Linked DNA regions of Arabidopsis thaliana. The protein of the gene in region 4 interacts with the protein of the main gene of each other region in a pairwise test. Each region holds a gene or a part of one and is shown on either strand. Other genes may lie near its edges. The genes, in order: AT3G05350, NRAMP4, AAP8 and PUP3.

Region 1 (7,603 bases), on a different chromosome or scaffold from region 4:
ACTTTGAGGACCTTCATGCACATTGAGTGCAGCACCTACGCCGTGTCCTGTCCCTGTTTGGCAGGCAAAATATCAGAGTAATATGAGTTCCTTACAAAAAAGTTGTTCTGGGAAGAAGAGTCAAAAGATAGAATAGAGTACCATGGCGGTAATCAAGTCCAATTTTCCATAGAGAAGAGCGTGCAAACCCATCCAATACAAAACCAGGAGTACCTTCTGGGAACACGGCTTGATCAAGAGCTATATGACCCTACAACCAAAATACCAATCAGACAAGGCAACCCATACAGGTTCGTCTGTTCAATATAGGTAGTCAATGGTCATCAAAAATGATGAGGAAAAGAAGAGCCAAATATTCCACCTGCAAGACTCGAGTGAAACATTCCTTTTCACGGGCAGAAGGTTCACTAAAATGTACTGTTCTGGTGATGTCTGTTGTTCCATCAACATATTGAGCGCCACTATCCAGCAAAAAAAGTTTTTGAGGGTCTACACGACTGCAGCTCTCAGGCTCGGGCTTATAATGTATAATAGCACCATTTGCACCGGAACCTGCATGGGTAATTAGAGGAAAGGAATACATATCACTCACTGGCTGTATATTGACTATGTGTTAAGAAGCAAGTTCCACCAACAAGGGTGACAATAACCATACCACTTATTGTATCAAAGCTTGTATCCATAAAACCATCTTGCATTGAACGGAATTCAAGAAGCCTGTCAGCCACATCGACCTCTGTTAGATTCGCATTCTTATGCACTTCTTCTTCCAGCCAAGCCCAGAAATGAGCTAGGGCAGCAGCATCTCTGCATAAAATAAGTGGTCAGCCAAAGACATTTCCCATACATAGGAAAAAAAGAAACCAAAATTTTCCAGAAATGAGCTAGAGCAGCAGCATTTCTCCATATATATTTGGTCAGCCTAAGATACTTAGCATTTGAAAGTACAAAAGAAACCAAAATCTTCCAGAGAAAAGTTGAATCCTATAAAGGCAGTTGGATTAGGAAAATATCGTAAAAGCAATGGCTTTCTTTACCTCAAGTGAGAATTCTTCATTCCCTTTAGCTCAGCATCATTTTTAATGGCCTTTGCCCACGAAATAGGAGATTGCATGTAAATACCAGAAGGATTGGCAGTATATCCGCTGGAGCTATCAGTAAACTTTGTCTTAACTTTGGCTTCGCTTTCAAAATTCCTCGAATATCTTTCACAGGCAGATTTGTAGGTACTAATGATAGCTACGTTGAGGGTTGATGGATCCATCAAGAGCTGAGCTCCTCGTGCTGCCAAACTGAGAAAACTCAAAGTGAGGGAAATTCCTTTTTCTGAAGTTCATAAATGGACATGGACAATCAAGTACTTACCTATCTATTCCTTGAAGAATGGAATCGTAAGGTCTAAGTTCGATCCCTGCGTTTTTCAAATGATCTTTCACCTCCACCGTTACTTTAGAATTATCTACAAAAAGTTGGGCTTGGTCAACCTCTACAATCAGATATGCGTACATTACAGGTGAATGTGGAACATCGCTCCCTCTCTGCAGTCAGAAGAGGCAGAATACAACATCAATACATTGGGACCTATGTGAAGGATAAGCTGATATCAGTGGCACAAAACTAACAGATTCAAATGTAAGATGCTATGCTAGAGTATTACCAGATTAAGCACCCATGCAATCTCATCAAGCATGGATATTACAATGGCAGATGTGCCAGCATCCATAATTTGGTTCCTCAAAGACAACAATTTCGAGGCCACATCTAAACCAGCATACTTCAAGTCATGTATCCTTATTTGTCTGCTTGGAGGCTTTGGCCTTGAGTCCTTCCATATCTCATCCACAAGATTTACATTGTACAAGTAAACCAACTCATGATTCTTCTTTGCTATAACCTCCTTCAATTCCTCAGCAGCATCGGCGGAAAAAAGGAACTGCTCCCTTCATGAATTCCAAAGTCTTGTAAATAACAAACCACAAACTACAATATTTAAGGACAAAAGGAGACACAATTTAGAAGGTTTAATAATAGCTTACAGGGTCAATACCAACTCTTCCACCAGGCGCCAAAACATCAGCTATCCATTCACTCGCCGTGGGGACTCCCGGATTACCAGCCCGCATGAGAATCCAACTAGAGTTTAATTGCTTCTCCGCCTTTGATAGAATAATTGCAGAGAATGTAGATAAGAAACTCCACATTTCCTTTCAATATGAGATGGCAATCAAATAATTTTAAAGGACGATAATGATCAAAACCTGAAGAAAATAGCGGCCATCTGTCCATAGAGCTGCCTTATCCTTGGTGACAACAGCGGTACCAGCACTTCCAGTAAATCCTGATATATAAGCCCTCCTGGCATAGCACTCTGCGATGAACTCGCTCTAGTACAAAATATGGAGAAAAATCACACTCAAGCCATGAAAAACTCAGGCAGTTTATGGATACATTTAGAAGTAAAACATAAATTTGTGACTTTCCTAATGGCACAGAAATATATTACAGGCAACATCAGTTATGAAAGTAGATCTTAAGCTCCTAGTATGTAAAATTCACCGAAACAACACATTACCCATATCAAAATGGCAAAAACAATTGCATAGATGCATAACAACCCCCGCACTGGTCCAAATCATATTTATTTTTTATCTTGAATCTCCAAATCGAATTTGGTATACTCAGGGACAGCAAGATTGACGTGTGAGCGGAGCAAGAAACTTTGGGGAGAATGAAATAAAACACGAGTTGGAGAATTTCATACTGTGATTTAGAAGAAGAAGAACTTCCATTTGGCTCTACAATTGAAACATCCTCTTATGACAAGTTGAGATTTGACTAGGAAGAAAAATCTGAATGCATTTTCAACCCAACATATAGAAGATCAGATACCACCAAAGCCGTTTCTTACAATACCATAAAGTAGAAAATTACAAAGACAAAGAGTTTATGCATAACACAACTGACAGATATCATAACAAACATATACGTTTCACAATCACTCAGAGAAATTGTGAGAGGTGATGGTGTTCAACGAGCACTTGTGGTGACTACTCTGCGCTTGTTTCGATGGAATTTTTCCATGAACCACTCGTGTTTGTGTGCAGTAAAGAAGATATGTCCAATAACTAATCCACAAAACACACCAGGTCCGTAGGCTATTGCCGCTGCTATCCAGTTAATCACTTGTTCTTCTGGTTCCGAAAATTCCTCGGATTCTAGTGGTGTAGAACTCGGGGCATGAGCTTTTCCACAGATTTTCTCAAGACCGTAGAGTCTGAGGTTGTCCATGAATGTAGAACAATGTTGGCTTTGAAACTGAGTGCCTAGTGGAACTGGACCTTCGAGAAGGTTATGGGAGAAATTCATGGTCGACAGAAAAGAGAGGCTACCAAGATCTCGAGGGATGTGACCTGATAGCTGATTCCGGGATAGGTCCAATGTCTCAAGATTTGTCAAATTTGCCAATGACTGAGGGATATTGCTTGTGAATGAGTTACCTGACAAATTGAGAAGACGCAATTCCTTCAACAAACCAACGGATTCAGGTATATTCCCAAAAAATCTGTTTCCAGAAAAGTCAATGGCTCTGAAGAAATATGGGATCCGCAAGAAGTCCGTTTCTACTCCTTTATATATCATAGTCATCGAATTACTATGGCTGAACTCGGGCCCTTTCTCGCCCATGTACCAATCCTCTGTACCTATATTAGAGCCGTTTTCTTCTAAGACAGATGTCACCATCTCACGCCAATTGGAGAAATATAAAGGTGACAAAGTTCCACTGAAGCCATTCTGTGATATATCAATGAGTCTCAAATGTTGAAACCCAAAAGATATGTGGTCATAATATAACGACCCATAGAATGCATTAGATCTGAGGATGAGGACACGTAATGATGGCAAAGAAACCAACCAGGATGGAAAAGTGTCCTTGATTATGTTGCTTCCCACATTCAGAAGTTCCATACCAGTGCAATTGATCAGGGATTTTGGAAGTTTTCCCTCCAACCGGTTGTAGCTAACGTCAAGTGATAATAACATGCTAGCATTGACAAATACGTCTGGGAGAAATCCGCTGAAGCTGTTGTTACGCAGAACTAGCCCTTTAAGCCAATAAGTGGAATTTTTCAAACAAGGAGGAATTGAGCCGTTGAAGAGATTGTTGGACAAGTCTAAGTACTTTAAGAACCTTTGCTTGCAGATCCAATGGGGAAAAGGTCCTCCAAGTGAATTCGAACCAAGATCCAACTCCTGCATTGATTCTCCATCCAAAGCTCCGGATGATGACTTTCCAAAACTGTTGAAAGAATTGTGGGAAAGTGTCACTGTCATCAATCCCCATAAGCAACCTGGCACTTCGCCTTCCAAGGTATTGTTTGAAAGACTAAGATGCTGAAGGTTGACCAACTTTGATATAGAAGTGGGGATTGGCCCAACTAAGTTGTTGTGGCTAAGATCTAGTACTATGAGACTGTGAATTTCAGATATATATTCAGGGATTGGCCCATCGAATTTGTTATCAGCAAGGTTTAGATCCCAAAGCCTAGAAGATGAAGATATATTCCCAAACTTTATAGGTCCCATGAACTGGTTTCCTTCCAAATAAACAATTTGTAACGAAGGAATCGTGAATAAGGATGTAGGAAAAGTCCCGACAAATGAATTCTCACGCACATCAAAATATTTCAAGTTGTGGAGTCCACTCATATCAGATGGAAGCGTGGATTTAAAGTGATTAGAGGCAACGTTTAAGGAGGACAAGCTGGTTAAATTTGGTAGTATGAAAGAGAAATTTTCCAATGTGAACTGATTGCTAGAGATGTCTAAACTAGAAAGCTTCGTTAAATTGGTAAATGAAGTAGGAATGTTACCACTAAAACTGTTTTCGGAAAGTAAAAGGTCTCTAAGTTGGTTTAGCTTACTGACCGAAGCCAGAACTTCACCTGTCAGCTGATTACTCGAAAGGTCAAGATGCGTGAGACGAGAAAGGTTTCCTAGTGAAGAAGTAACCTCTCCATAGAGATGGCAATCACTGAGAGTCAGGTTCTGGAGTTGTTGGAGTTTGAAAAGACCACTAGTTGGTTTCAAAGAGTTGTTGAGAAGGACATAACTAAGGTCAAGTGAAACCACCTCGCCAGATTCATCATCGCACGTGACACCCTCCCAAAAACAGCAATCACTAGTCTTGTTCCATGAACTCAACGATGGACTTGGCTTCGATTCACTTACCGGAAACTCGTGTTTGAACTCGAGAAGAGCATCCCTTTGGTCATGGCGGCAATAGTGAAGCCTAGAAGAAGCAAGAGTGCGTAGAACAAGGGAACCCAGGAGGAAGAAATACAAGGTAATAACACTACCAGAAAAGGAATTAGATTGGCTTGGAATCATTTTGTTTGTTTTGTAAGTAACAGGTTATGATAGCTATGGCTTCTACGTCTCTATTTAGAGAGAGAGAAAAATAGAAAACAAAACACAAATTTGCAGCTCTCTAGTAGACTTCTACCTACTCCTTTCTATAGTCAAACTTGCCCACTTGGACCAATAATTGACTTAAAAACACACACAATTGAACAGTTTTGAATCTACTAGAACTTCCTATTCAATTCGTAATCACGAGTTAAGAAGAGGTTTAAAAAAAGAGAACCTGATGTGCATCTTGTGAAGGTATGATATAAGCGTCGATTCCAACACCCGGCTCCGAAAACAGTCGCCGGATCGAGCTAAGCTTCTCGTCGACAACTACTTTGGTTTGAGCTTTACGAATCTCTTTGGAAGACTTTGCCGTGAAGGAGGAAGAGCTGCTGCTGCTGCTACTAGCATGACACCTTGCGCCAAAAAGAGGTTTATACGGTAATTTCCGGTGGATCAGAGAGAGCGAATTGAAATTGCTGAGAAATAGAGAGTGTGAGTAACGTGATGTGGATAAAACGAGCCGATTCAGAGACGGCGACGAAAGAGTTAGAGGAATCATCACCAGCGATTGCAGGAGAATCACACAAGAGGAGAAGCTTCTTGAGCAGAGTGATTACGGATAAATGTGTATAACTACTGAAAATTGCAAAACAACCCCCGTATTCTTTTAAATGTTGTATAATGTGCATGACTATTGATAATTACATTAAAATCCCAGACTTGTCAAAAAGAAACATTTTATTTTGAAACAATCTCATCAAATTCGTTATGGTAAAGGACAGCCAAGAGAGACGTGTGCAAGAAGCAAGAGTCTTTGGGTGCGTAAGAAATGTAAACGTGTTCGAGACTTTCATGCTGAGAATTTCGATTGGAATTTTGGTTTGACTTAGAAAGTTTTATGAGAAAGACTTAATACCGCCTGAATTAAGGGTTTCCACGAAAGAGACAAACGATAAATTGCAACCACACCAGAAAAGAGAAAAATAGATACTAATATTCTTTATATTGATAACCATGGGGTTTAGAATTCAAAACATATTTTGAGATATGAGTAGAAGAAGTTTCTGAATGCATTATCGAGCCAAGATTTATTACAAAACCTTGCAACAATGTGGTTTGGGACAAGAAGCTGACCATGATTTTAACCTGATAGTAAAACGGGCCTTGTCTCTTGACAGCTGAAAGTCTGAAACAAGATCATAATATTTCTCAAGCGCTGAACTAACACAAGTAAGGGAATGGAAGTGAATACTTGTTCTGAAGCAACTGGCATGAAAATGTACCTCTCAAGTATCTGGTTTTTTCTAATCTCCTTCCGTGAAAAGAAAGATTCTTAGGGTACCAAGGCAAAGGCTTGATTGCCTCCAATTCACCACTCTCTATGGCCTTAAGTATGCTTCTTATGTCTATCATCAATGAGACACTAGAAAAATGAAAGAGTCATGAATCAACCTCAGCCCGAAGAGATTTCATGAAATCATTCTCCAATTTCAATCAAATCCCATCACAAAATTGACCACTGAAGAATCAAAAACAGAGGCCACTTAGTCAAAAAAAACTCTGAAACTCCATAAACGAATCCCACTCTTCAGCTTTCACTATCCTTTGTTCCTTACACAACTTCACAACAAGACATTACAATGGTGTTTATTAGAAGTAAAGTTTCAAAATCCATGGAAGCCATTGATTCTATTGAGGTACCTTGTAATACTCCTCGAGTCCTCATCCTCGAAATGAAGATTTGAGCAGATGGGCTTTTGGAGGTTGGAATCAAAGGAAGCATCGGATTTGAGGGGGTTTTCGAACATTCTCTTGGCTATTTAGAGTTGATTTCTCTTCCAAGTTGTGTCGTCTCCATTTTTGTTGTTACAGTGGCCGAGCTTTTTGTTTTCACAGCGATGGGTTTGATGGGTTTACATTGGTTTTGAAATTCAAATTGATCTCGGTTCGGTTTAATTTGGTTTAGAGAAGAAAACCAAAAAAAATAAGACACGCGATGGATTTTTGAGAGTGAGTTGCGTGGATCAAAAAAGGCATGATTTCTGTGGACAAACCCCTTTAGAAATCGTAGACACGCGCTCAACGCGACATGGGTGAGACTGGTTGTGAAATCGCTCGATTGGTAAAAGTGGGGTATGAAGTGGAGCTCTCTCATTGGCTAAAAAAATAAAAATAGTAGACATATAGCTCC
Region 2 (5,023 bases), on a different chromosome or scaffold from region 4:
TTAATAACGATATTTTTGGTGCATACTTTCTCTTAATAAATGCGTTAGACTCGTGGCGGGTTTTGCGTCAAACCTTGTTAGGTAGGTTATGTATTTAAATATTTTAATTTTTGACTTTTTGATGTTTGTTTTTTTGGATTTTGGATTAGGAGAAGCTGCTCCTGTGTTTTTAATTTAATTTGGGGCAGTTAACGAAACTTACGTGATGTATTTAAATACCTCGACTCGACTCGACTCTCGTTTGCCAGGAAATTTTCATTATCAAATGATAAAACTAGCTTCCAGAATTTTTTTTAACTTAAATTTGCAATCAAAGCTTATCGTGGCATCAAAGAAATTGTGCATGAATTTCCCCTAAACGACTAAACATTGTTTGTGACCTTTAAACATCAAATTAAATGCGAGCGCGTTTCCATTAATCTTTGACCATTTCTTCCCCATTTTTGACCATTTTTTTTTTCTCTAAGAAATTCAAAACCAGAGTTCACGTTATTACTTTGAAAAACATCAAGATATCTAAATGTATAAATATTAAGATTTTTTTTTTAACTTATATACTTAAACCCAAAAAAAAAAAATCTATCTAAAAGAAAATGAAATAACGCACATCTGAAGAAGGAACTTCATGTTTACGTTTTATTTCTGCCAAAATTCTAAGAAACGCCGGAAGTTTTACACAAACGATACGATTCGGATTCTTCCAAAGCTATACTCTAAAAACCATAAAACACTATAATACAAATACATCAGGACATTGTTTTGTTACCATACTGAAACTCAACTTTCTATTGTTTGTTTCACTAAAAAGAGCAATCTCTCTTATTCTTATTCTTCAATGAAAAGGTCTCTTTGCTTTTCCTTTACTCACTCATCATCCCTCTGTGGTTCTTTATGTGAAGAAGCCACTAGTTGCCAAGGAGTGTACGTGAGTCCTCGTGAGATAAGGTAAAGTACAAACACAACATAAGCAATTGCGAATATGATCACTGGCACAAGCAAAATCAAATTCGTTGCAGCTCCTGAGAAGAAATCCACCATTAGATACCCATTAATGGCTATCACAAGAGCAGCTACTATCCATGAGATTGTTTGGACTAAAGGTTGAATTTTGAAACTGCCCATGATTTGCTCATTGGAGACCAAGCAAAGGAGTGGGATCACAGCGAAAGGGATCTGAACCGATTGAAGAACGTTTAGCCATTCGTTGAGCTCATCAAGCATAGAATCCGATGAATCAAAGACAAGCGCCACGATCATTGTTGGTATGATTGCACAGCTTCTTGTGATCAAGGCTCTAACCCATTTCTTCATCTTGAGATTCAAGAACCCTCCCATTATAAACTGTCCGGCGTACGTACCTGTGATGGTACTACTCTGACCAGCAGCTAAGACTCCAATCGCCCATATATACAGTATCGGGAAAAACCCACCCCCGTATTTGTCCTGTAAGTACTGTCCAGCATTTGCAAGACCGATGGTGTCCGCTATCTCTGTCCCGTAAAACGACTTGGCAAACACCGTGGTCACAAAGACGTTGATAATGAAAGAAACCGCAAGAGCACCAGTGGATTCAATGGAGTAGTACTTGAGAGCTTCTTTGACCCGGAATCTCTTTTTCGGATCGACTTCTCTGGATTGCACAAGTGCTGAATGCAAGAACACATTGTGAGGCATGATAATACATCCCACAATACCAACAGCTTGTTTGATAGTCCTGGAGCTAAGCTTAGGGACCAATGCTCCTGTTAAAAAACATGAACAGTTACCATTTTTGTACTCCCATCTCCACACACTAGACAAAAGAAAGGAATATTTAGAGTCTCACCAACAAGGAGCTCAGTTCCACTGGGTTTCGTCTGACCAAACATCCAAGCAAATGCAAGAGCCATTGTTGCAATCAAAATAGCAAACACAGCTTCTAGTTTCCTTATTCCATAATTCTCCAAAAATAGAAAGATGAAACTGCAATTAACCCATCACACACAATGTTAGGATCAAAACTAAAGATACCAAACAAACAATAATAAAGAACCCTAAATTCCAAAAATTAGGGTTTTTCCTAAATCAATAACCAAATTGAGAAAAAAAAAAACACTTACCAATCAAGAGCAGTGATAACAACACCAGCCCAAAGAGGAACCAATCCATTAGACAAGATCTTGATAGCTATAGCACTACCAATAACTTCCTGAATATCAGCTCCGATCAAAGCAATCTCCGCCATAATCCAAAGCACCATCCTTGCCCAAGTCGGATACTCTTCTCGACACAACTCCGCCAGATGTCTACCCGTCGCCACACCGAGACGGGCAGATAGAAGTTGAATCAGAAGCCCAATCGCCGTAGCCCACATCAATAGCCAAATCAAAGAGTAACCAGCGATGGCTCCAGCTTGAAGATCGCTCTCGAGATTACCTGGATCGAGGAAAGCGATACTCATCAGAAAACCAGGTCCAGTGAATAGCCAAAGCTTCTTCCATGAGAATTTAGGAGAGTTTCCGGGGTCATCGTCGTAATCAGCGTCTTCTTCTTCGTCGATTCCGACTATGAGAACTTTCTCGGTTTCTTCATAAGCTCTCTCCTCCGATGCTAATAACGGACGCTCTCTATCAGTCTCCGACATATTTCCCGGTAACCGCCGATTCTCAGAGTCGGAATTCAGAAATGCTAAATTCGAAATTGGTGGTGGTGCTGCGACTAAAGTGACGACTATCTTGAAATTTGCAACTGCTTTGTTGCTTTATATATATACTATAATCGACTTAGGGGTAGATAATACCGTTTTATCCAATACTATTACGCCACGTCAGAATAAGAAGTGGCAGTATATGTGAATGGTAAATAAGCGCAGGGATAGATTTGTCAATAAGTCGAGAGAACGTGTAACTTGGGGATTATCGAGTCTTCTTCTTGGGAGTCTCATTATCCTCACACAAAAGTATGGTGCTCAAGGAAATTACTAGTTTGGTCGACCATATTAATGGTGATGATTACAGATTAAAAAATGCGACGTGGTGAACAGAAACAAAAATAAATAAAGGGAATGGGTTAAGTAGAAGTAGAAACGTGTTTGGCCTGGGGGTTACACGAATCCGTCAGCTCTCGCCACGCGCCATCATCCACTTTCACTGTTTCACCCAACGGTTTACTACTACTACATAAAGACACCTTCATAGTTGATGTCCTCATATCTCAATTGCATTACATCACTTTCAATTCAAATCTAGCTTTGTGGTCTAAATTCAAAGATATGGATGTAGTAACCCTTGTAATCTTATGCAGTTTGTTTTCTTTCAATTCATTGTTACTCGTCAGTCAACCCAAAAGTTGCAATGATAGATAAAATAACAAAAATAATCTCAAGTACAGTTTCATCTTTCGAATTTAGTGTTATAACTTATAGATATGTGCAACAACAAAAAGAAACACCTTGGACTGAGAGAGTGTTATTAGGACTACAATTAAGAAAACTACATTCTGAAATCAAGAACGCAAACTGAGTTATCAGCGAAGCAAGCTGCGATTTTGTTACCTTCTTTGTTCCAACACACTTCGAATATCCCTCCATTTCCTGTGTATGTCTTTACGATTTTACCTTCTTTAATCGACCATATGTGTATCGATTTGTCCAAAGACCCACTCGCTATGTACTCCCCGTTTGGACTAAACGCCAGTGAGTAAACCGGTTCCCTTCATATCACAACAACGAAACTTATAACCAACGGTTTACAGCTAAACCCCGCAAAAGTACATTGAGGTTTAACTTTTACCTGTGTCCATTGAAACTACAGAGCATCTTCCCGAGTTCTGCATCCCATAGCTTTACTGTTGAGTCAAATGATGCACTGTTCCATTCAAACAACAACAACAACACAGAGATGATGAATGATATGTTACAATGACGCTTTGTTTTTAAAGTATTCAATGTTTAAAGCGTGTTGTAACCTTGCAAGAGTTAGCTGTTTGTTAGGATTGTTAGTTCCTGGTCCTGTAGGGCTCCATCTGATTGTATAAATTTCCTAAAGAGAAGATTAATATCCATCTTTAGAGGCTATTCAAAATCCAAAAATATATTTGAAATTTCCTTAAGACTTTTGAGGATTTATGGATTTACCTTAGTATGCTCTCGGAGGTCATGAACAAAGGTGCTTTGTTTTATATTCCATATCTGAAGAAAAAATATACATTTATAAAAAGAGGCAGAGAGAAACTTAAAGAAATGTAGAATATGCTCAAGTTAATTCAAAGAACCTTAGCAGTACTATCATCTGAGCATGAGGCCAATAATGAACCAGTAGGATCCCATTTCACACAGTTGACCTCACCCTGCCATTATGGAAGCCATGGGTTTGGTTAGTACCAGACATTTGTTACTTGCGACTGAGAAAACTAAACATACTGATACGATATGGGAGAAACTTGGATGACAGATACAAACCTGATGCCCAGTAAAGGTTTTGGCAGGCCTAGTTTCTCCAATCTTACATAAGTAGATCATGCTGTCCGTGGAACTCGTTGCAAAAGATACATTGTTGCGCCAATCAACATCAAGTGTTGGACCTATTTTCAAAAAAAATTCATTCCATGTCATATGCATGAGAAATTGATTCAAATTGATGTTTAATCAAAAAAGAAATAAAATTGCACCTGAATGAAATTCAAATTGTTGCTTCCACTCCTCTGCCTTTACGTCCCAAACAACAGCAGTTCTATCAACACTACCGGTTAGAAGATAGTCCCCCTTCTTGTTCCACTTAAGGGAAAAAATAGGTCCCTTGTGTTTGCTAAGAGTACTTATCAGTTCACCTGGAAATGTGAAAAAGAAAGACGTAATTTGTAATTTAGAAGCTGACTCTCCAATACATAACAGAAGGTGGAGTAAATGTTTTTGGCCAAGGATATGATACCCAATGCAGAGTTATAATGTTTTTTACTAGCTGATAGCTTTTATTGTTTCAATCTTGTGTCGTGTTACTATCAAAAGCCCACACAACTCGAACATCACAATTTGTAGCTCACGCTA
Region 3 (5,002 bases), 6.6 Mb from region 4:
TAGGGGATGCATCTCTTGGTTAGATGCGCCATATGGGTAGGTAACCGCAAGGCAATTGTTTGGTTACATGGCGGTTATGATGGTAGCCATCAAGTGACATACGACCACAAAACCTTGAAAATGACTTTGTAAGCAAATGCAGAGTAGAAACGTTAATAGAAAACCAAACTTGCCTTGATCCTCTATTGCCCAACTCCTCCAATACATAAGATGTGATAGCAACTTATGTAGGACACACCAAACCAAATAAATTACACAATCTGTGAGTGTCTGTTTTCAAGATTTCCCCGACAATTCCATTAAGCAAAATAAATAATAATAACTCGAAATTGACACAACCACACGAATTTGAAAAAAGCTGAAATCCATATCTCATGGGACTCAAACATCCAATGTTGATTCAATAATTGTAGTCCTAAAAATAAATCAATAACTAATACATTTTCATAAATTTTAGTACTAATACATAAGTTAGCATTTTGGTTTTTAACATAGCTGAAAACAGAACGTCACATTATTTGGAGAAACATTAAGTACTAAATATTTAGCATGAAATAAATTTCATATAATTCATATGGATCACAAGGTTTTTTTTTGGCAAACATAGATTATAAGTCACACTAGTCTAAATTCTTGAAGGGCTTGTATGACTTGACACTATTAATTAAGCCAATGATGGATCCTACGGCGGCAAGGGCCGAGACGATCAAGCAAACCAATACGAGGAGGTTCAAGGCCAACCATCTACGAGAATACTTCTTGACTTTAGCCTGCGCAATGTGCATTGCCACCGGAAAATAAACTGTGAGTGGCCAGAACGCGAATGCCCCTAGCAAACCCAAGATCGCATTGAAGAAGGGGAATATCATTGCTACAAATGTTGTCAAAACAACATAGCATGTCCTCCAAACCAGTCTGAAGAGGTTGACACGACATTTTCCAAGCAAAGGAACCTTTGACGAGTATTCTTTGTTGATGAAATTGCTTTGAGGCCATTTTTTGTTGCAGTTTTCCTCAACAAACTGGAAAAACGGCTGCGCATACACCTGCGAATAATACAGGGATAAAAAAAAAAAAAGAGCATTTTTTAGAAACAATATTTAGTAATAACTCCATTTCTACAATCTTCTGAATTGTTAAAGCTAAAAATTCTAACACAATAATGAGACTTTTAATGAACTTGAACACGGTAAATGTATGTTACACACTTATCCTATTCTTTTGTTTGTGAGTTATACCTGATAGGCACCTATTAGATGGAGAGCAATGCAAGCATTGGCAAAGTCGATGAGCCAATAAGGTTCGTAAAAACCAAAATCGGTAAGGAAGTCACCAGGGGCTTGGTTGCCGAACGCAGCATATCCGATGCAACCACACAAGATGTAGAAAACAGTTGTGGTTGAGACTCCGACAAGACTTGCTCGTTTCATCACTTTGTTCTCTGGTGGGCTTGATCTCAATGTGTCCTGCAAAATAAACAAGACATACTACTAGAGCGTCACTATCTTTAGAGCTTCACATATCTAAAATATGAAACTATTTTTATCCATCATCCATCCATCTATATTTTTTCCTAACTGTCTAATTAATAATAACATCTTATCTTCAAGGTATTCTTATTTTACCTCTCTTTGGCGAAATTAATAATAACAAGCAAATGAAAACAATAGTAAACGGAAGATAGTAGGAATCAGTAGTACATGCCTGAATCTCGATGAGAATAGTGGTAAAAGCGTATGAAAAGGCAATGTCTCCAATCGCTTGAAACAATTTCCAAACTTTTTCAGACGCAGTTACGTCCACACCTATCACTGTCCCTGTCAATTCTGTCTTACCAATCTTCCCACCTTTCATATATATTGTATACCATTTTCACGGTTAGTGTCAACTTTGAAGAATCATCCATATAAACCACTATGTTTTAAGATAAAGAAGGGGAATGTACTTGCTACAGTAGCGATGGCTAGGCCTATTCCGATAGACGCATAAGAGAAGGACATAACCGCGGCGATGATGGATAGGAAAGAGAGCTTGTGGAAGTTAGGAAGCTGGCTCAGAATGATCTGGACGATCCCAAATGCCGCCATGTATGGATAATTCGATACAGAACATTTCGCTTTATGTCCCTTGTCATGATAACAATTTGATTTCCCAATCGCTCTAACGAAGACGTACAAAAACACCAATCAAACAATTATTAGTAATTTTATTCAGAACAACATGTTAGTATAACCATAACAAAATAATCGAAATAAATCAGAATCTTTGACTTACACTAAGCTTATGGAGGCAGTGATGGTGTAACCAATAGTGACCCCTACGAGATTCACGTACTGTGCCACTCCACATAGCTGAACCTTTTTACCACCTGCGTTTTATGTTATTAAAGAAGAAAAATGATTACTCTTGTACTACTATCAAATACTACCAATCTTTTGGTCTTATGGCAAAGTTTCTAAACATCCCGCATAATTCCAAATTTTCAACGAGGGGTCAACAATCGAATTTATAACATTCTTTAACGGGATAAATTGAATTGACTATGTTACCAATCCTAATCAATTTAATTTATTAACTAAGTTATGAAAGAATGAAGATTATCTTCCTTTTTTTTATATAGATTTTGATAATTAATTCATATCTTCCCATGAAAGAGCATGCACACTTGGCAAAATCGTAAATCATTTTTTTCTAACAACCATATTTTTTTCTTTCATTGTTCAACAACAATAATGTTCTTCAACAAATTTACATGGTAAAAAATTGTTGAAATGAGCCAATTATACTGTAGATTTACAAATTCCAACTTAGCATTAAATATATATTTTTAGATCAGATTTTTTTTCTTTCGCCAGCCATCATCATTGTGACAGAAATGGAAGAAAATCAAAACACATGTCCTAAATTGAGACTAGTTAGGCAAAATCTAAATGATATCAAATGAACAAAATCCTTGTTCATCTGAGAAAAAATGTCTAGAAAACTGAAAAATCTGTGAAAAACAATGCTGATAAAGACACAAAATGAATTTGTTTATATGAATCCATACCAAGGTAAGATCGGACGACGCCCATGTAATTATAGTTGCGTGTTCCGGTGATGGAGTCCGGCGAACGGTAACAGTCGGCGAGCAAGGTGGACGTGTAGTAAGTAATGATGGCGAAAGCGACCAAAACTGTGGTTCCTGCCACCCAACCAAGCTGTGCTATAGCCCAAGCCAACGACAGCACCCCTGAGCCTATGACCGCCGTGATTATGTGCGCACTCGCCGTCCAAAATGTTCCCGTTCTCTTCTCTCGACCATCGTCGTCGACGCTTTTCACGGCGGCGTCACCCGACTCCACCGCCGAGGGATTGTTGTATGCGTCCATCATTGTGAGAGAACCACTGAACCAGAGGAGAGAAGAGAGGGGAAGAGAGTTATTGACAGAGGTCGTCTTATTAGAGTACTCCCTCACAATCACGTACTTACATGTATTATATACACAAATATCGATGTTTATATGGAAAGAGCATCTTTGTACGTTGAATCTTATTTATTAAGAGAATCTTCTATTACGAGGATTTATTTCTTTTGACTTTGATTTTGAATGTGTAACCACTATTGCTTATTCCGGAAACAAAAATTGGTCCGCATGTTGAAAAGAGGATTTACCTACATTAACGACACTACGAATAATCGAAATTAGGTAACTGATTAAAATTAGATGAGTAAAACAGAGAGATATTTCCTTCAGATCTTGGCCTCTTGCATAGCTATATCCTCTCTTCTATCTTGCTCATTTATCTTCTCAAATCCTCACATGCACATGATTCATTAATCGGGAAATTAAATCATTAACATTGAGTTATAATGATGTATTGATGTGAATCTATATATATATATTGTTGTATCAACTAAATATTATGATATATCTACAACATTTTGTTATTAGTATCGCATCAAATACAAAATTATGTGGATTTACATGTTTGTATTATATTTTACTACTATTTTAACGGTTTACAAAAACATGTAAACCAAACCATAAATTTCACTAATTTCAATTATGTACGATTTTGAGTCTTCATTACTTCTTATCGTTTCTTTCACTCTTATAGTCTTATCTCACAATCCGTAATTTGTGCACAATTAATGAATTCAATGTTGTATTTTGTCGTATTAAATATGGATTTTGACCAACATAAACCTGATTTTTTAGTGGATTATTTTAAAATATATCCACAAAATATTCCTTCGAATAAAATCCCATTCTAACTATATCCATAAAATGCCCATCCCAATTGTCGAGACAGAATCAGATATCTAAAATGACACATAATAAATGTCGCATATTACACCATTAAAGTACGGTACGTTGACCTCCTACCTGACTATGAACAGCTCATCAGACAGCTCCCTGTGCCCTCAAGTAGGGGTGTGGATAAATTGGTCTGGTTACCGGTAAAATCTGGAGAGTATACCTCAAGATCAGGTTACGGGGTAACATCCTTGACAGTGCTACCAACAGCTCAGGTCCGCTTTAACTGGCAAGCAAACCTTTGGAAACTCCACACTATGCCGAAGATCAAACTTTTCCTATGGAAGGCGGCTGCAGGAGCTCTCCCTGTGGGTGCACAACTCGTAAGAAGGCATATATCATCAACTTGGGATTGTGCACGCTGTGGGGCTCCGGAGACTTCCACCCACATGCTGTTTCACTGTGATTTTGCGGCACAAGTTTGGAACCTAGCGCCCCTCCAATTGGGTCACATCCCTATCGGTACCCCTATTTTGGAAGCTCTTAACTTACTTAAGAAAACCATCGTTCTCCCCCCGGTTGGGATTCATACAGCAACCCTCTTCCCCTGGATCTGTTGGCACATCTGGAAAGCCAGAAATCAGCTTATCTTCCAAAATTCTCATTTCTCTGTGATAGAGACTGTTACAAAGGCGGTTCAGGATGCCTTAGCGTGGCAATCCGCCCAATTGGCGCTCCCAAAAGTTCGTGTAGCGACCCCC
Region 4 (3,454 bases):
TTTCTTTACATTTTGATTCAACTGAATGTTATTTCCTCACTAGCGATTGTTCCTTATAGTAATGAAGAATCATGAATATGAACCAAACAGGCTTTACCAGAAGCTCTCTACTGGTTGAACTTACAGGTGGAATCTAACGGGTCCTCAGATCATCCGCGACTTCTCGTTAATGGTGCTGCTGGCGCTATTGTTGAGCAGGTTAATGGGATGAAGCCACCACGAGAGATGAAAGATAAAAGCATTCAACAGAAGACAAATGAAGACTAATTTCATCTATTGCTGGTAGAACAAAAAGCTCACCAGCATAACAGAGAGTGTCATTGTTTGACCTCATAATTCTATTACAAACTCATTTGATGTGAATAATAAGAGACATCAAACAAGTTAAGCTGAAATAAAGAAAAGAAAAAAAAAAGTCCTTTAAGATTGTGTTTTCGGCATAATCCCACAAGTTTCTCAAACATATCTTCTAATCTACTTGGCGGAGAAATGAGTGCTATGATGTCTTTAAACGAAAAGCCATGCTTCGTTGAGTTTTAACACTCACTTATGGGTCTTGACAAAGAAGATTGTTCTGTCTCCTGACTCTCCTCCTGCTGAATTCTCCTTTTATCCTCGCCAGACTTTATCTCACCATAAAAGTAAGAGACAAAGCCCCAAAGGGAGAGAGCAAGAGAAAGTCCCTTCTCAGCTTGAAACTTTTCATGGTAGAATATAACAGCTAAAACCTCTGTAATTGGCAAAAGCACTGATATCATAATACCCGAGACGAGAGACGATGTGGAGAAGATTAATCCAATGGCTCCCAAGAAGAAGCCTTGCCATATGATGGCTGAAAACACAGCCACCACATAGAACAATGCCTCTCCAAGCTTGAACTCTCTTGCTTCTTTTGGTAAGGCCTGCAAAAACAGTAAAGGGCTCAAGTCTCTGTTAAAAACTCTTTTGTATGTTTTCAGATTCAAAAGAGTGACTAACCTTGAAATCACCAGCGATGAACATACCGATGACGCTGACAATAGAAGCAAGGAGACACAAAATCAACTGGAACTCGAGCACAAGGGTATAGCTCATGGTTTGCTTAGCTTTCTGGTAAGCAAGTTCCACTAATGGCAAGATGAAAGCATACATAACAGCTGCTGCTACAGTAATCAAGAAACCAGTTATGTACTGCTTGTGAGTCTCATGAACTGGCTTATCAGTTTCGGTATGCATTCCCAAAACCGCAGCACCAACAGTCAACAACACAACAGCATTGATGGTAAAAGGAGTGAACTTATGTTTAACCATGAAGAATGAGAAGATAGCTATAAAAGCTAACTGTGAAGCAATGATAAGAGCAGCTGTAGAAACTGGAAGATAAGCTATACCATATGCATACAAGTAGTTATCAAACCCTGAGAGAATGCCTACAATAACAGCGGCGATAAGAAGACGCGGTTTGATAAGAAAGAAACTTGTACTATCACCCACATTGTTGCTTCTGCGCCGGGTAATGTAAGAGAAGAGCAGAGGAATGAAGATAACAGGAAAGCCTGCAGTTTCAAGAAACGTAGAGAACCAAATCCTTTTACCGCCATTGTTGAAGTAGAGACGCATAATCAAAGGACCTCCACAGTTTCCTATGGCTAGAATTATGCAGTTTATGATCACAAGAGCCTTCACCATTCTTGTCTGATTTCTTGTGGATAATGAAGGTTGGTGGTCGAAGGAGTTAGTTATAAGGTTTGGTGTTGCTGTGTTTTGGAACAAATTTGGTCCGGTTTTAGATTCTGTCGTGATAGATCTTTGTGTTTCTTTTTACCTAACGAGGCTTCAATGGCTAAAACATGACTTTTCCTATTTTATACCCATAAATTTTGCTAACTGTTTAATTTCGTATAAAAAACGTAGTAATTATCTTATAGACCAGATAATATCATATCTCTCATATTAATTTACGTTTCCATCAAATTCTACAGTTTTGATTATTGGATTTATTTCTTTCTAAATTTAGTGCAATGACATTAAGATTTTCAGTTCATAATTCTCTCTATAATTAGAAGATTTTAAGGATGGTTAATTGGTTCTTTGACTCTATCTCTTTTGTTTTCTCTTCTTCTTTCTATATTAGTTCTTTGATTTATATACAAATTTTTATATTAAATAGATAAATTATATTAATCTTAAATTAAAAGTGTGAAATGTTTATTTTATAAAATCGATAAATAGGATGTGATTTTATCAAATACGAAATATCCTATCTTTTACTTATCATTATCATTCTATTTCTACTACAAGTGTATTAAAATTTGCATTTATCAAATAGCTCAATATCTTTCAAATTTATTCATACTTATACACAAGAACAATAACAAAACACACAATCACACATAATATTAGGAACAAAACATAACAGTAATGCTCTGTTATAATCCTATAGAGTTATAGAAATTAAGCAACATAATCACTAACAGGAAGAATAGGCAGTTCTGTCTCCGGCGGTTGAGGTTTATCAACAACTTTCTTGCCGGATTTAAACTCGCCGTAGAAGTAAGAGACAAATCCCCAAAGAGAAAGAAGTAGAGAGACACCTTTCTCTGCCTGAAACTTCTCCCGGAAACAAACGACGGCGAAAACTTCAGTCACCGGAAGCAGAACACTTATCAGAACACCAGAAGCTAGTGATGATGCACAAAACACAATCCCTATGGCTCCTAAGAAGAAACCTTGCCATATTATTCCTGTGATCACTATCAATGCATAGTAAAACACTGATCCTCCAATCTTGAACTCTCTTGCTTCTCTTGCTATCACCTACAAAACATGTATGATGATGATTTTAGTTGATTCTCAAGTTTAATCATAATTTTAAATAGATATGGAAATACAGGATAAAGGTTTGAACAATTTTTAAATAATGTTTCTAATAAAAGATAAGGAAGACAAATCATATATATGAAAGTTGGCCAACTCTCTCCATATGATTGACACATCATCACTTTAACATGTGCCATGTGTCCACATAATAATTAATGTAAGCTTTCAACTTTTAATTTATAGATTAATGATGTATTTATTATTTAATTTTACATATTTAATTGTACTAATACTAAATTTATTTTGTTATTACATGTTGTTCAATAAAATAATTTTATTGGTTTTCTCATACTCAGAAGATTTTTTTCTGTAATCTTAACTCAAATTATGAGTGTATAGTAGTCATGGATTAGTTAATAGTTTGAATAGTTTGCATATTGTTATATATCTATATAATAAATCGCCGAGGGTGAAGAGTATGTAAGAAATTTAATCATCAAATTCTTAGGTTTCGAGAATTCCAGTATTACCCTCTATTTAATTAGTTTAAGATGAACATTGTTTAGGAATTGTGTGTATAATGCATTGTTGAGAATGTTGTTAGAAAAAATATATTTTAATACTAAGAATAATTACTTATTACATAAGTAAATGA

The links.
Region 1: the proteins of PUP3 (region 4) and AT3G05350 interact in a protein complementation assay, tested with the Arabidopsis thaliana proteins (one large-scale study listed by BioGRID).
Region 2: the proteins of PUP3 (region 4) and NRAMP4 interact in a protein complementation assay, tested with the Arabidopsis thaliana proteins (one large-scale study listed by BioGRID).
Region 3: the proteins of PUP3 (region 4) and AAP8 interact in a protein complementation assay, tested with the Arabidopsis thaliana proteins (one large-scale study listed by BioGRID).

Annotation. Positions count from the first base shown.
Region 1 is NC_003074.8:1,527,873-1,535,475, forward strand, and holds the start of AT3G05350 (Metallopeptidase M24 family protein), read right to left. Parts: upstream 6,038-7,603; 5' UTR 5,972-6,037; coding exon 5,645-5,971; intron 5,490-5,644; exon of another isoform or gene 5,389-5,489; coding exon of another isoform or gene 3,028-5,388; exon of another isoform or gene 2,796-3,027; intron 2,385-2,795; coding exon 2,259-2,384; intron 2,157-2,258; coding exon 2,037-2,156; intron 1,934-2,036; coding exon 1,658-1,933; intron 1,539-1,657; coding exon 1,366-1,538; intron 1,293-1,365; coding exon 1,038-1,292; intron 808-1,037; coding exon 656-807; intron 553-655; coding exon 362-552; intron 251-361; coding exon 142-250; intron 54-141; coding exon 1-53. Other genes in the region: RLP30 (receptor like protein 30), read right to left, coding at 3,028-5,388; AT3G05365 (uncharacterized protein), read right to left, coding at 6,504-6,598, 6,696-6,835, 7,114-7,220. UniProt on the Arabidopsis thaliana protein: Catalyzes the removal of a penultimate prolyl residue from the N-termini of peptides, such as Arg-Pro-Pro.
Region 2 is NC_003076.8:26,859,422-26,864,444, reverse strand, and holds NRAMP4 (natural resistance associated macrophage protein 4), read right to left. Parts: upstream 3,180-5,023; 5' UTR 2,624-3,179; coding exon 2,100-2,623; intron 1,963-2,099; coding exon 1,826-1,962; intron 1,743-1,825; coding exon 865-1,742; 3' UTR 548-864; downstream 1-547. Other genes in the region: HOS15 (WD-40 repeat family protein), read right to left, coding at 3,471-3,690, 3,771-3,845, 3,946-4,019, 4,115-4,168, 4,252-4,326, 4,439-4,560, 4,648-4,806. UniProt on the Arabidopsis thaliana protein: Vacuolar metal transporter involved in intracellular metal homeostasis. Can transport iron (Fe), manganese (Mn) and cadmium (Cd). Regulates metal accumulation under Fe starvation.
Region 3 is NC_003070.9:3,264,345-3,269,346, reverse strand, and holds AAP8 (amino acid permease 8), read right to left. Parts: upstream 3,462-5,002; 5' UTR 3,375-3,461; coding exon 3,050-3,374; intron 2,369-3,049; coding exon 2,275-2,368; intron 2,161-2,274; coding exon 1,946-2,160; intron 1,848-1,945; coding exon 1,705-1,847; intron 1,467-1,704; coding exon 1,239-1,466; intron 1,047-1,238; coding exon 621-1,046; 3' UTR 524-620; downstream 1-523. Other genes in the region: AT1G10000 (Ribonuclease H-like superfamily protein), read left to right, coding at 4,559-5,002. UniProt on the Arabidopsis thaliana protein: Amino acid-proton symporter. Stereospecific transporter with a broad specificity for glutamate, aspartate and neutral and acidic amino acids.
Region 4 is NC_003070.9:9,859,767-9,863,220, forward strand, and holds PUP3 (purine permease 3), read right to left. Parts: upstream 1,803-3,454; 5' UTR 1,669-1,802; coding exon 979-1,668; intron 903-978; coding exon 537-902; 3' UTR 525-536; downstream 1-524. Other genes in the region: ATJ1 (DNAJ heat shock family protein), read left to right, coding at 127-211; PUP1 (purine permease 1), read right to left, coding at 2,434-2,796. UniProt on the Arabidopsis thaliana protein: May be involved in transport of purine derivatives during pollen germination and tube elongation.